3 linked regions of the Arabidopsis thaliana genome follow. The protein of the gene in region 3 interacts with the protein of the main gene of each other region in a pairwise test. Each region holds a gene or a part of one and is shown on either strand. Other genes may lie near its edges.

Region 1 (4,246 bases), on a different chromosome or scaffold from region 3:
CCTTTCCGTTTTTGATATTATATAACAATATTTTATATCTTTTAATCGCTAAAAACGAATATTATATAAATGTATTGGATGTCCAAAAAAAAAAATGTGAATGGAGGCTTTCATATGCTATATCACTATCAACCAATCACAGAACATCTTTGACAGAAGGTTACCTATGCACGTACACTACACATACGATGCTCTTTGTTTATATCTTTGCTTATAGTTTATCGATGCTAACCACTGTAAGAATTAAGTAAAGTTAATGCCAATTTAACATTAAGTTAAAATTACTGTAAAAAGTAAATTAGATAGGCTGCCTTTTAAAAAAATTGTTGAATTATAACCATATTTGCTTTTCAAACATGCATGTCCCAAGTAACAGAACAAACAAAAAAAAGAAGAAGTTTGGCGTAATGCTCCTATACCATGGGTTAGTGCTCTCAAGCGGGTCATGTGTACACCAACAATATCAATTTTTGGGTGTTTGCTTTTAACTGAAAAAGTAAACGCATCGAATCTTTATTATGATTTCGATGAATAATGATAAAATTTGGGACAATTTCAATTCAAGTGAGGAAAACGTGTCTGTGCCTTCTTGGTAAATCTAACACTGAAATTTGACACGCAGTTGCTTCTATAGTCAGTAATTCCAATAAAGCATCTAAAATTGCATTTGAATATTTAATCATAGTCGTCCCTATCAATAATTGTCACCAACAAAGATAAAGGGTAAATAAGAAACATATAATGAAAATTGAATGGTCGTAGTTTTATATGTTAGTTGGAACCAAAGATTCTTCAATCTATCATCCACTCAGAGCTACGTGGACAGTCGATATTTTGGGTTATATAAAAAAAAACAAAATTGTACTATAAGACAAAAGAAAACAGTATTAAAAAAAAAAAAATCAATAACAAGATTATATCTTATCCCAATGAACAAAATGAAAATTTAGTTATTTTGAATAATGTTACAGGTTTTAATTAAATTATACTATATCACAAACAGCAAGAGTCAGATACATCGAACGGTCCAGCTTTCCTCCTTTATTTTTTTCTGGCTATCGTTTTGATGCAAAGTTGTTTCGTTAATCGTGAAAATTAAAAAGCTACAGCAATCTTCTCCGAAACTTCATACACTCGCCGACAAGAGAAACTTCATCCACTCGGATTTCTCGTAACTTGCAGCACTAAACATTTCATGAAACTATTCACAAAAGTCCACGAACCTTGCAATTGGCCACAAAATTTAAAATACTTATATACGTAACGACAACCTATCCATATTTTTCTTTCTAACGATCCAAAACTGGCCACGCTTCGACTCCATGGTGATATTAACTAGGGAAGTGGCTAATGGCAAACAAGTGCTTAGAAGTGGTAAATTCAAATAATAACCGTCGATTATTTCTTTCTAACCGTTATTGAGGTTACCAATTAAAAAAAGTGATCACAAACTAGGTCAATGAAAAGGGAGATTTTTTGTTTTCTTTGGGCCAATGAAAATAGAAACTAAGATGGACAAAAGAAAATATTATAATTGGACAAAACAGAGTCATTTGAGATTTAAAACAGAGAAGTAATAAAGGTCAAATGTTTTTGTGGTGAGCTCTCAAAAACAGACATAAAAAAAAGAAGCAGAATCATTCCCATTTATAACAAACCTAAACCTCTCTTTTCTTCTTCTCTTTACCTTTTTCATTCCAAAATCTCTCTCTCTCTCTCTCTCTTTCTCTGGCTCGGGAAGAAGATGTCACGTAGTTGCTCACAGTGTGGAAACAACGGCCACAACTCTCGCACATGTCCGACGGACATAACTACCACCGGTGACAACAACGACAAAGGCGGCGGGGAGAAAGCCATCATGCTTTTTGGCGTCCGCGTCACGGAAGCTTCATCATCTTGTTTTAGAAAAAGTGTTAGTATGAACAATCTCTCTCAATTCGATCAAACTCCTGATCCCAACCCAACCGATGACGGTGGTTACGCTTCAGACGACGTCGTTCACGCCTCCGGTAGAAACCGTGAACGCAAACGAGGTTAATAAAATAACCTTTCTTCTCTCTTTCCCAAATCTCATCTCTGTTTTTGTTTCTTGTTTTTGAAACTTTCTTGCAAATTTGGAATTTAGGAACTCCATGGACAGAGGAAGAACATAGATTGTTTCTTACTGGATTGCATAAAGTTGGAAAAGGTGATTGGAGAGGAATCTCTAGAAACTTTGTTAAAACTCGAACACCTACTCAGGTAGCGAGTCATGCTCAGAAATATTTTCTCCGGCGGACTAATCAGAATCGTCGTCGTCGTAGATCAAGCCTCTTCGATATCACTCCCGATTCGGTAACGTTTCATTCTTTAAAATCTATAATTAAAATCAAGAATCTGTAAGATTATACTAACACATAAGGTTCGATATGTCAACAGTTTATAGGATCATCAAAAGAAGAGAATCAGTTACAGACTCCATTGGAGCTAATCCGTCCAGTTCCGATTCCTATTCCGATTCCACCGTCGCGGAAGATGGCTGATTTGAATCTTAACAAGAAAAAAACTCCAGCGACAACGGAGATGTTTCCGCTGTCGCTGAATTTGCAGAGGCCGTCTTCGTCGACATCGTCATCGTCCAATGAACAGAAGGCACGTGGCTCACGTGCCTCCTCGGGGTTCGAGGCGATGTCGAGTAATGGAGATAGTATAATGGGAGTGGCTTGATGAAGAAGATAATGTTTTAATTAATTTATATTGTATAAGATAAGATCTGGATGATGATTAATTTGAAATTTGAGAATTAGGCTAATTAGATACTTTGATCAGAATCAAGTGAGTTTTTAAGTTTGAATTAGTGTGTACATGTTTTTTTGCTCTTTTTGGGGGAAACGACTTGTCGTTTTTGTTGTTGTATGATGTAAAACAACAGGTAGTCTCTGTGTTGTTTTGGTCAAGACTTGATCAGATTCAGAAGTGAAGACGACTTCAAGCTTAAGATAGTTTAGATGTGTCTTTTGAAAAGTTTAAACAGAATGGTTATTGGGTTAAGGTTAAGTGTATCTCATATGCTTTTTCTATCTTTTTTTTTGGTAAGACTTTTCCAGTAATTTGCCGTTTTCTTCGGGGTGTGTGTTGTTGATAATGTCACATTCATGAACCAAACACAGTTATATTACTTTAGTAACAGTTTTTTTTTGTTTTTTTGTTTGTCGTTTGACGTCATTTTGTTTTATTTATGTTATTACATACATGGATATAATTTATGAAACTGCCAAGAAAACAAAGAATATAATTTGTTGAATTGTTATTGGCCTACCAACTATATCAGCAAGATTCGAATCTATACTTTGTTAAAATGTCTCAATGTAGGACTGGACTGGAGATAAATATAAAGTAATATATAGGGTAAAGTTTCTAAGTCTTGTATAGCATGATTTTTATTAGGGAATAGAATTCTAATTTCATGATGTAATTCAAACAACTGAAATGGAAAATTGTTTAAAACTAGCTAAACTTGTACAGTTGTACTATTTAGAGCCCAAAGTGATAACTGTTTTATGGCTTTTATCCATGCAAAAGAAAAACATCAAAATAAAGTGATGTCCATCACATACATCTTAAATAAAGTAATAATGGGCCTAGCTAAGGTATAGCCCATGGGCTTATTCGCTGATCTAACCAAAGTGTCGCTAATTTTCTTCCTTGTTTTTTTAACGCAAATTTTCTTCCATGTCAATTATGTCTTTTTAATCAAAAATTCCTCCACACCAAAAAAGAACGTAAAAACTAAAAATAGAACAAATTCAACTACACTCAGATAATCGAATTGCTATGTCCAATATCCAAAACATTTCAAGCCATTTAGTGCTCTCACTAAACATATTTTAACAAAATATGAAATAACATTCCCAAAATTGCGATCAAAAGGCTAGAAACATCTTCAACAATTATGACAGTCCTAAACCAACAGTTCAAACACGTTTTATATCTGTTTGGCCAAATTAAACGAATATAACATAAAAATACGATTGATCTTAGACAATTACTAAAGTTTCTAAATAATAATCTATACTTTCACAAAACAAGAAATACAAATTGATTCTTGCGCAGAAAGTGCTTTGGTACCTACTTTTTTTACCACCTTTCCTTTTCAATTGAGACATCAACACATTCACTAAAACAAACTCTCAAACTGCTCTAAACGACACCGTTTAGTTACAGATAACTTTACTTGTATTTAAAGTCACCAAAAGTTTGAATTTTT
Region 2 (3,936 bases), on a different chromosome or scaffold from region 3:
AGTACCAAATCTACGTATAGCATGGTTTTATTTCAGTCTCAAATACAAATCATGTGTATACTACGAGAAATCGTGCGGTACATACACAAATCAGAAAAAGAAAGAAAAATAATAACATCATGCACATAAACAAAACATATAAAATAAAAAACATAAAAAAGATTGGTAGGTTTGGTCCGATCTAAAGTAATGAGAACGGAGACACATATGAAATGACACGTGTTATGATGTTGAAAGCTTCCATGGAGACGTACAAGTCTCCGGAGGAGACAATTTCTCCTCTGCGTCTCGACTTTCGACTCTCTCTCTCTGTCTCTCGGAGAAGAAAGAGATTCATCATCTTCTCTCACCATTAATCTTCCTTGCCAAAGATTTTCGAGCCCATTCATAAGATTCCGGTGAATTTTCCGAGGTAAGAGAAGAAAAACAGGATTGTACTCTTATATGAATCTCATCGTGATTCAGTTAAGATCCTTTGCTCTTTTTTTTCTCTCGTATTAATTTTTTCTGTTCTAAATTGAAATTCTAGACCTTTCTTGCTGCACAAGATTCTTACTCTTCTTTTCACGCAGAAACGATGTCAATATTGTGCAACAATGGCCGCAAAAGAGATAAGAGAAGAGGAAGAAGAAAAGAGAAAGAAACAACGATAGAAGAGACTCATCAATGTTGTTGTTGTTGCGTGTGGCCTCCATTTTCAATGGTTAGAGGAATAAAGAGATGTTTCTTCCTCTCATGTTATCCATTTATTCGATGTTTAGGATTGGAAGAGAGAAGACATCGTCATCATCTTCATCACCACAACCACTTTTTATGATTCCTTTTGTGTATAAAGATTACTATAGGGCATGTGAAAACATTTCTTGATTTCAAGAAAAACATGTAAAATAATCAAATAAGGAATCAAGACACAATGAAAACGTTTCATGGTTAGGGCTAACATTATAAATCTCTCATGGTTAGCTTCTGCAGTTCATGAGATGACATTTAAGCTTCTCAACATCAGCAAGCTTCAAAGGCTTCTGCATAAACATTTGAGCTCCACTCGCTAAACATCTGCTTTCAAAAGACCAAAACAGAACATTAAGATTGATGATCTTTACTAATTACTTACACTATAAGAAACACAGAAACAAGTTCTTAATCTGATCTCAATTTGTTCTTACTTGTTTATGCGAGTAGGAATATTCTCTGAAGACATTATCACAACAGGAACCTCTCTCAGATTTGATGACTCCTGCTAAAGAAACACACAGAAGATTTTTAGGTTAATATAAATCTCTGGATATTGGTTCCAAGAAGCTGTTATATAATTACCTTCACTTTCTTGAGTAGCTCAAAACCTGTCATTCCAGGCATACAGTAATCGGTGATGATTAGACTCACCTTCATAACCTAGAAAATCCACACATATATAAACCTAATATCAAATATGTCCTAAGGAAAAAAATCCATAGATCTTGAAGATTTTATATGTTTTTTTTTTGCTTACGTTACAGGTCAATGCATCAATATGCTGATTTTGATCTCCCAAACCCAAATACTCCAATGCTCTAAGCGCATTCTCTGCTGTTGTCACTGCAAAAATTCACATTTTAGAGACAAAGATTGCATAAAGTAATGATTGATTATAAAACATGAAAGGTAAAATGATTGAACCTTTGCAACAAGAGATCTTGAGCAACCTCTCAACGAGTTTACGGTCAATAAGATTATCATCTACAGCTAAAACATGAAGCTCTTCATCATGACCATGATGAAGATGATGATCATAAGCCACCACATCCATTAAAGACGAACAAGAACCTCCTGAACTGTTCATGATCTCCTTTGTTCCTTAAATGTCAAGTAACTGATAAAGAAAACAACTTGATAATAAGCGAGACTGACTCTAGCATTAATATAAAGACCTTGCAGACATTGCTTTTAGTTCTCCATCTTCAACAAAAATAAATCAAAAAGACAAAACACAAACAATGAAGAAGAAAGTGACAGACTCAGAAGTGTGTATGCATGAATCATGTGAATCTCTGGTGATGGTATTTATGATGGTTTCTTTGATTTTTTAGGTGGGTGAAGAATTTTCCATTATGATTTCCCAACTATATATAATTCTGCAGAATAATTTTTAAAAGTAAATAAAAACAGAGAGCAATGGGGAAGAGATTGCATCAAAGAATATCACGGATATTTCGTGATCTCTTATTTTTAGGGGTTTTAGTTTCAGTACCAGTCGTTATAGATTTAAAGTTGCATATACTTGTCTTTTTGTATTGTGTTACTTGTTAGGACATGTTCTTCGAATCGTGTGGGGTTTCTTTTTTTCTTTTCTTTTGGACCACTTTAAAATTAAAAAATTGTAGTAGATTCATAGAACTGAAAATATGATATGAAAAAGATTTATTCGGTAACAATCTGATATGATTTGAAGAAAAATCGTATAATAAAAGCCAAAGAACCTCAAAAAAGATCATAATTGTTTTTTGGGACAAGAATAAAGATTTTGTGTGTGTTTAATATAAGAAAGAAGTTGTGTGTTTTGGAGGACTGATTCTTTGTGAAACTAAATAAAGAAACATATGTGTCCGGTGACAGTCGTACGGATCTGTTTCAGGATCTTGTAAGCTGATAAGATAATTCTTTAGATATCAACTTTTTCATTATTATTTTTCGGGTTCAAATCCTTGGAATAAATGGAAACAGGTAATGACTTTTTGTCACAAATGGACCACCAATCTCTTTTAGAGATCCCCATGGGCCAGGTCTAAGATTCTTTATCATCCTTCCTTGTAAGATCATCTACGTCGAATCAAAACAAAAGGAGGTTGTTTCTTCTAATTGAAGTAATTTGCAAGTTTATTTGAACACAATTGGTTTGATAGTTCAATCCAGAGTGAATGGCTTGGTTTATCTGATTGAAAAAACCCCATAAGTAGCTAAGTGGATATTTGTAGGTAATACGTTGCAATCCAATGGTGGACTTGCACAGCTTGAACGAAAGGAGTGAACAAAGAAAATGGAACTAAGTATCTAGTAGCAGAGAGTTCTCAAAAGGGAAATTGAAACAATGATGTTTGTCAAAAAGCTAATAAGAAGAAAGTTTTTAGATTAATTCGAATTGTGACAAAAAGAACATCTTTTCTTTTTCCAACTGAGTTTGCGAATATCAAAGAAAAACGCTAGAGTAGAGGAGAGAAGTATCAACTGAGTTTACTACTTGATGGTCGCCTTGGGGATGCTGGAAGTGCAAGGTCCAGCCGAGGTCATGAATTGTATGCCTTTGTATGTGGCTACGCCATTTTCATCAGTGTAGAGACCCTGCAAATGCATGTGATTAACCGAAGTCCTCGTGAGATTGAATGTTTACGTATAATAATGCAAACACAGTACTCGCATCTTCGGTTTGTTTAAGTCTGGAACCTAATAAAGGGCAAAAAACACATACCGGTGTTATCTTCTCTAGTTGCTTCTTTTTTGGGTTCAGTACATCTTCTGGCTTTCCTTCAATCCTATATAAACATTTCGATAAAGGGTTCTTGAGTTTGAGATAAACAAGAACAACAATAAAATAAAAAGAAAAGAGCATATATGAGTTTAATGGCTGGAGGGGAAACATGTAAATAAAGCAATCAAAGAGGTTCGATGTTATATTGTTAAAACTATGTACCCTGAAAATGAAACACGCTCTCCTGGTTTAGCACCAGCAGGTGGTAGCAACGGCTCTACCACCGAGTGATCTTCACTTGAAGCACAAAGAACCTGCAGCAAAGAAATCAAAAACACAGAAAATGAGCAAATGTGAGAGTGTGAAATATTTTGATAGCTGATGAGCTGGATTGAGGCAGACAGAAGAGAGTATTACCAGTCCTTGTGACATTACATCTCTTAGCTTTCCAGGTTTGACATTTGTGATGAGTGCAACGAGGCGGTTCTTCA
Region 3 (3,335 bases):
AGACACCGACTCGAGGGCAGAGGTTTGTTACATCTCTCTCTTTCACATCTTTGCGTTGTTAGGTCTGAAAACGCATTGATCATTCATGTTACGTGGTCAATTGCAGCCTGCAACGATCAAGATAAGCCAAACGGACCAAGCAGCTGGAGCAGGGCAGGCCACACAGAAATCTGCATGCTGTGGAACTTAAAAAAGTTTTAAAAGTGAAGTTTAAGTCGAAAAAAGTTTGGGGGTGAAGTGAAAAACTAAGATATCGTTGGGTGCTTATGTAATTTTTTGTTTTATGCCAACAATTCTGATTCGTTCTTCTAAATTGTCCTTCCTATTTGTACGAAGGTTTAATCGAAACTTGTATTTTTCTTTTCTATTACTGATTTTTTATGACGGTGACTGAATTGTTTATGTTGGTCATCACTTCTCTCTATATATCCTCTGTTCTTAATTTTTCTCTTGCTTCCTCTTTTATCAAGTCTTTAAACATTACTTCTAATACTCGTAAACTCATCTTTGACACAACCATAAGCAATACAAAACCATAATATGTACACTGCCTGATTTATGAGTCGTAAACGTATAATTGTGTTAGCAATCCAGTGATGAAGAAACTTATCATGTTTTAGTTGCACTACAGTTACTATAGCTGACACTTATATTGTAGTTTCAACACCAGTTAAACCATTCTCATAGTTCAACAACATTCTAGGGTTAATAAAACGTGAAACCAAAATTTAGCGAACAAGAAAATAAATCTTGAATAGTATATCAGATTGTATTCAGATCATGTATTCACATCGAATAGTAAGATAAATGGATCAACAAAGACTAAAACCATGTAAAAAGTACTACTCTATGTAAGATTATCAATAAAACTAAAACCCTAACGAACATGAAAAATCAGTACATCGTTCTTCCCAACTCCAATTCCGTGTTGACAAAGCTCTCCACCGAAGTTAAGTCGAAATCCAAACACGCCACTCTCTTCCCACTACTCGATTTCTTCAAAGTCGTCACCGTTGTCGTCTCCGGCATGAAAGAATGCGTAACCAATACGTTAGAAGCCTTTTCTCGTTCTTTCTCGTTCCTATGTTTCCTCATGTGACCACCAAGAGCTTGTCCCATCGGAAACTCCAAGCCACAAATCGGACAAGTATGAGCCGTCGTCGTAGTCGTAGTTTTAGGCTTCTTCTTTGGTGATCCAGGAAGTGATTTATCGTCACTGTTGGTTAGTTTCGAGTGGCTTGCACGGTGGCCTCCTAAAGCTTGGAACGAATCGAAGTCTCTCTCACAAGTCTTGCATCGGAAAACACGTTTCTTTCTTCCGTCGTGTTCTCCAATTCCTGATAACAACATCAGACAGCTCGCCGCCGTATCCACCGTCAGATCACGATTATCACTTTCAGCAACCATGATTTTAGTTTCGAATCGAGCGAGTGACTTTCTAGGGTTTTGTTTTATGCTTGTGTGTGTTGACTCACTCCTCTTATATATAGGAGACTGGATTGAGTAAAGACGGTTTTAATTGACGAAAATACCCTCTCAAGACTTGCTGCCTAAGTTAGTAAAAATTGAAGCTGCGGTGTAAAGATGTACATGTAGAAAATCAGAGTCACCGCTTTAACACTAAAAACTCGGAAAAATGGAAATATTCATTTGTGAAAGAATATATTCTTATTGCTTTCCTCCACTAATTAGACAAATATTGAAAGACGTACTATAACCAGTTTTAATTATTTTTATAAAAAAAACAAGTTTTAATTAATATATAAATATGTATATTATATATAAAAAATATTGTAATTATCTTAATAAATATTTTATTCTAACGCGGTCTCTTCGGGTTCGTGTTCCTTCTTAAGCCGCCTTTTACTATTTGAGATTGGGCAAATCTACTTGGTACGTAACTTATCCGTATTCATTTATCACCAAGAAAAAGAAAAAAACTTATTCATAGTCGACATACTTCTAGAACTTTTTGTTGGTTCGATAGTCAATATTTATGTTCAGTTTATTTGTGAAACTCATGTCCTAGTAATTACACTTACACGCATATTATTCATTTGTATATACTTCGGAATCTTCTGACCTACGTCTTTTTATTCGCAATGATCAATAGAACTCAAGACTTGAGAAGATCATCGTGTCATTATCTAACTAAGATTTTGTCACAGTAACGTACGTAAATGAGGGACAAGTAGAGGTGTGTGGCTCTCGCACGAGTCACCGAGAAGGGAACGAATAAAAAGTGTGAAAATAGTGGTTGTACGGAAACTAGAGGGAAACTATTAGAAGCAAAGCAGAAGAAAAAAAGAAAATGAGAGAGTGGTTTGATGCGACATTTTTGATACACTTCCACGCGGTTTCTTCTTACCACAAATCTCTTCACATGTTTTTATTCACAAATTAGGTTTATCTCTCATATTCATCTCCCACTAAATAAGCAAATAGAGACAAGGATGTTATATCTGTAAGCATTTAGCTAATATCTAATATAAGAATACATATAAAATTAAAATTAATAGAAACATTTTATTGTTGAAGTTTACTACACACAGACTTCTCTAAGCATCTTACCTATTTATTTTATGTGCTAGTTTGACTGTTTAAATTAATTTTAACTTCATTATTTATATTCGACACATTATTCAAATCTCAATGCAATGATTCAATCTCTAGTTTGACGATTAAAAATTTGAATAGTTGATAATTCTTTTAATATTAGTCTATAATCTAAAGATAACGGGTGCCAAAAAAAAAAACTGAAAACAAGAAAAACTTTGAGAACATTTAGGAATCATAACTACTTATTAGAACGATCCAAACTTGAAGATTAACTAATTTGAACCTTTTTTTAACAATTTCTTCCCTTGGATGTGCGATTCTTGTAAGAGAGAGTGGAGAGAGGTTGGTTAGCTTAGTCTTGTCTCTGGTTATACTTGTTTCAATTGTTTTCTTGTTGTTGAAGTTGACCACACATATAATGGTTTCAAGTTTCAACACTACTTAAACCATTCATAGATCAAACTTCAAGGGCTAATTTAAAGAAAACAAGAAAATTAGTGTACATTGAATGTAAACTCCAATAGTGTATATCAAAATAATATTCACATCGATCGGTAAGATAAATGGATCTACAAAGATTACAATATGAAACTGTATGAAAATATGTTAAAACCCTATAACGAATATGAAGAAATAAAACGAATCAAGAAATCGTTCTTCCCAACTCCAACTTCCAATTGACTAAACTCTCCATCGAATCTAAGTCCAAACAAGCCACTCTCTTCCCACTACTCGATTTTTTCAAAGTCGTCACCGTCGTCGTCTCCGGTAAAAAA

The links. The genes of interacting proteins can lie anywhere in the genome.
Region 1: the proteins of AT3G46070 (region 3) and AT1G70000 interact in a two-hybrid assay, tested with the Arabidopsis thaliana proteins (one large-scale study listed by BioGRID).
Region 2: the proteins of AT3G46070 (region 3) and RR16 interact in a two-hybrid assay, tested with the Arabidopsis thaliana proteins (one large-scale study listed by BioGRID).

What each region holds. Positions count from the first base shown.
Region 1 is NC_003070.9:26,362,134-26,366,379, reverse strand, and holds AT1G70000 (myb-like transcription factor family protein), read left to right. Parts: upstream 1-1,501; 5' UTR 1,502-1,744; coding exon 1,745-2,033; intron 2,034-2,125; coding exon 2,126-2,334; intron 2,335-2,418; coding exon 2,419-2,706; 3' UTR 2,707-3,401; downstream 3,402-4,246.
Region 2 is NC_003071.7:16,968,144-16,972,079, reverse strand, and holds RR16 (response regulator 16), read right to left. Parts: upstream 2,227-3,936; 5' UTR 1,823-2,226; coding exon 1,660-1,822; intron 1,579-1,659; coding exon 1,493-1,578; intron 1,396-1,492; coding exon 1,318-1,395; intron 1,241-1,317; coding exon 1,167-1,240; intron 1,057-1,166; coding exon 960-1,056; 3' UTR 846-959; downstream 1-845. Other genes in the region: AT2G40660 (Nucleic acid-binding, OB-fold-like protein), read right to left, coding at 3,214-3,318, 3,446-3,509, 3,668-3,759, 3,863-3,931. UniProt on the Arabidopsis thaliana protein: Functions as a response regulator involved in His-to-Asp phosphorelay signal transduction system. Phosphorylation of the Asp residue in the receiver domain activates the ability of the protein to promote the transcription of target genes.
Region 3 is NC_003074.8:16,919,551-16,922,885, forward strand, and holds AT3G46070 (C2H2-type zinc finger family protein), read right to left. Parts: upstream 1,408-3,335; coding exon 895-1,407; downstream 1-894. Other genes in the region: RABE1c (RAB GTPase homolog 8A), read left to right, coding at 1-22, 107-190; AT3G46080 (C2H2-type zinc finger family protein), read right to left, coding at 3,203-3,335.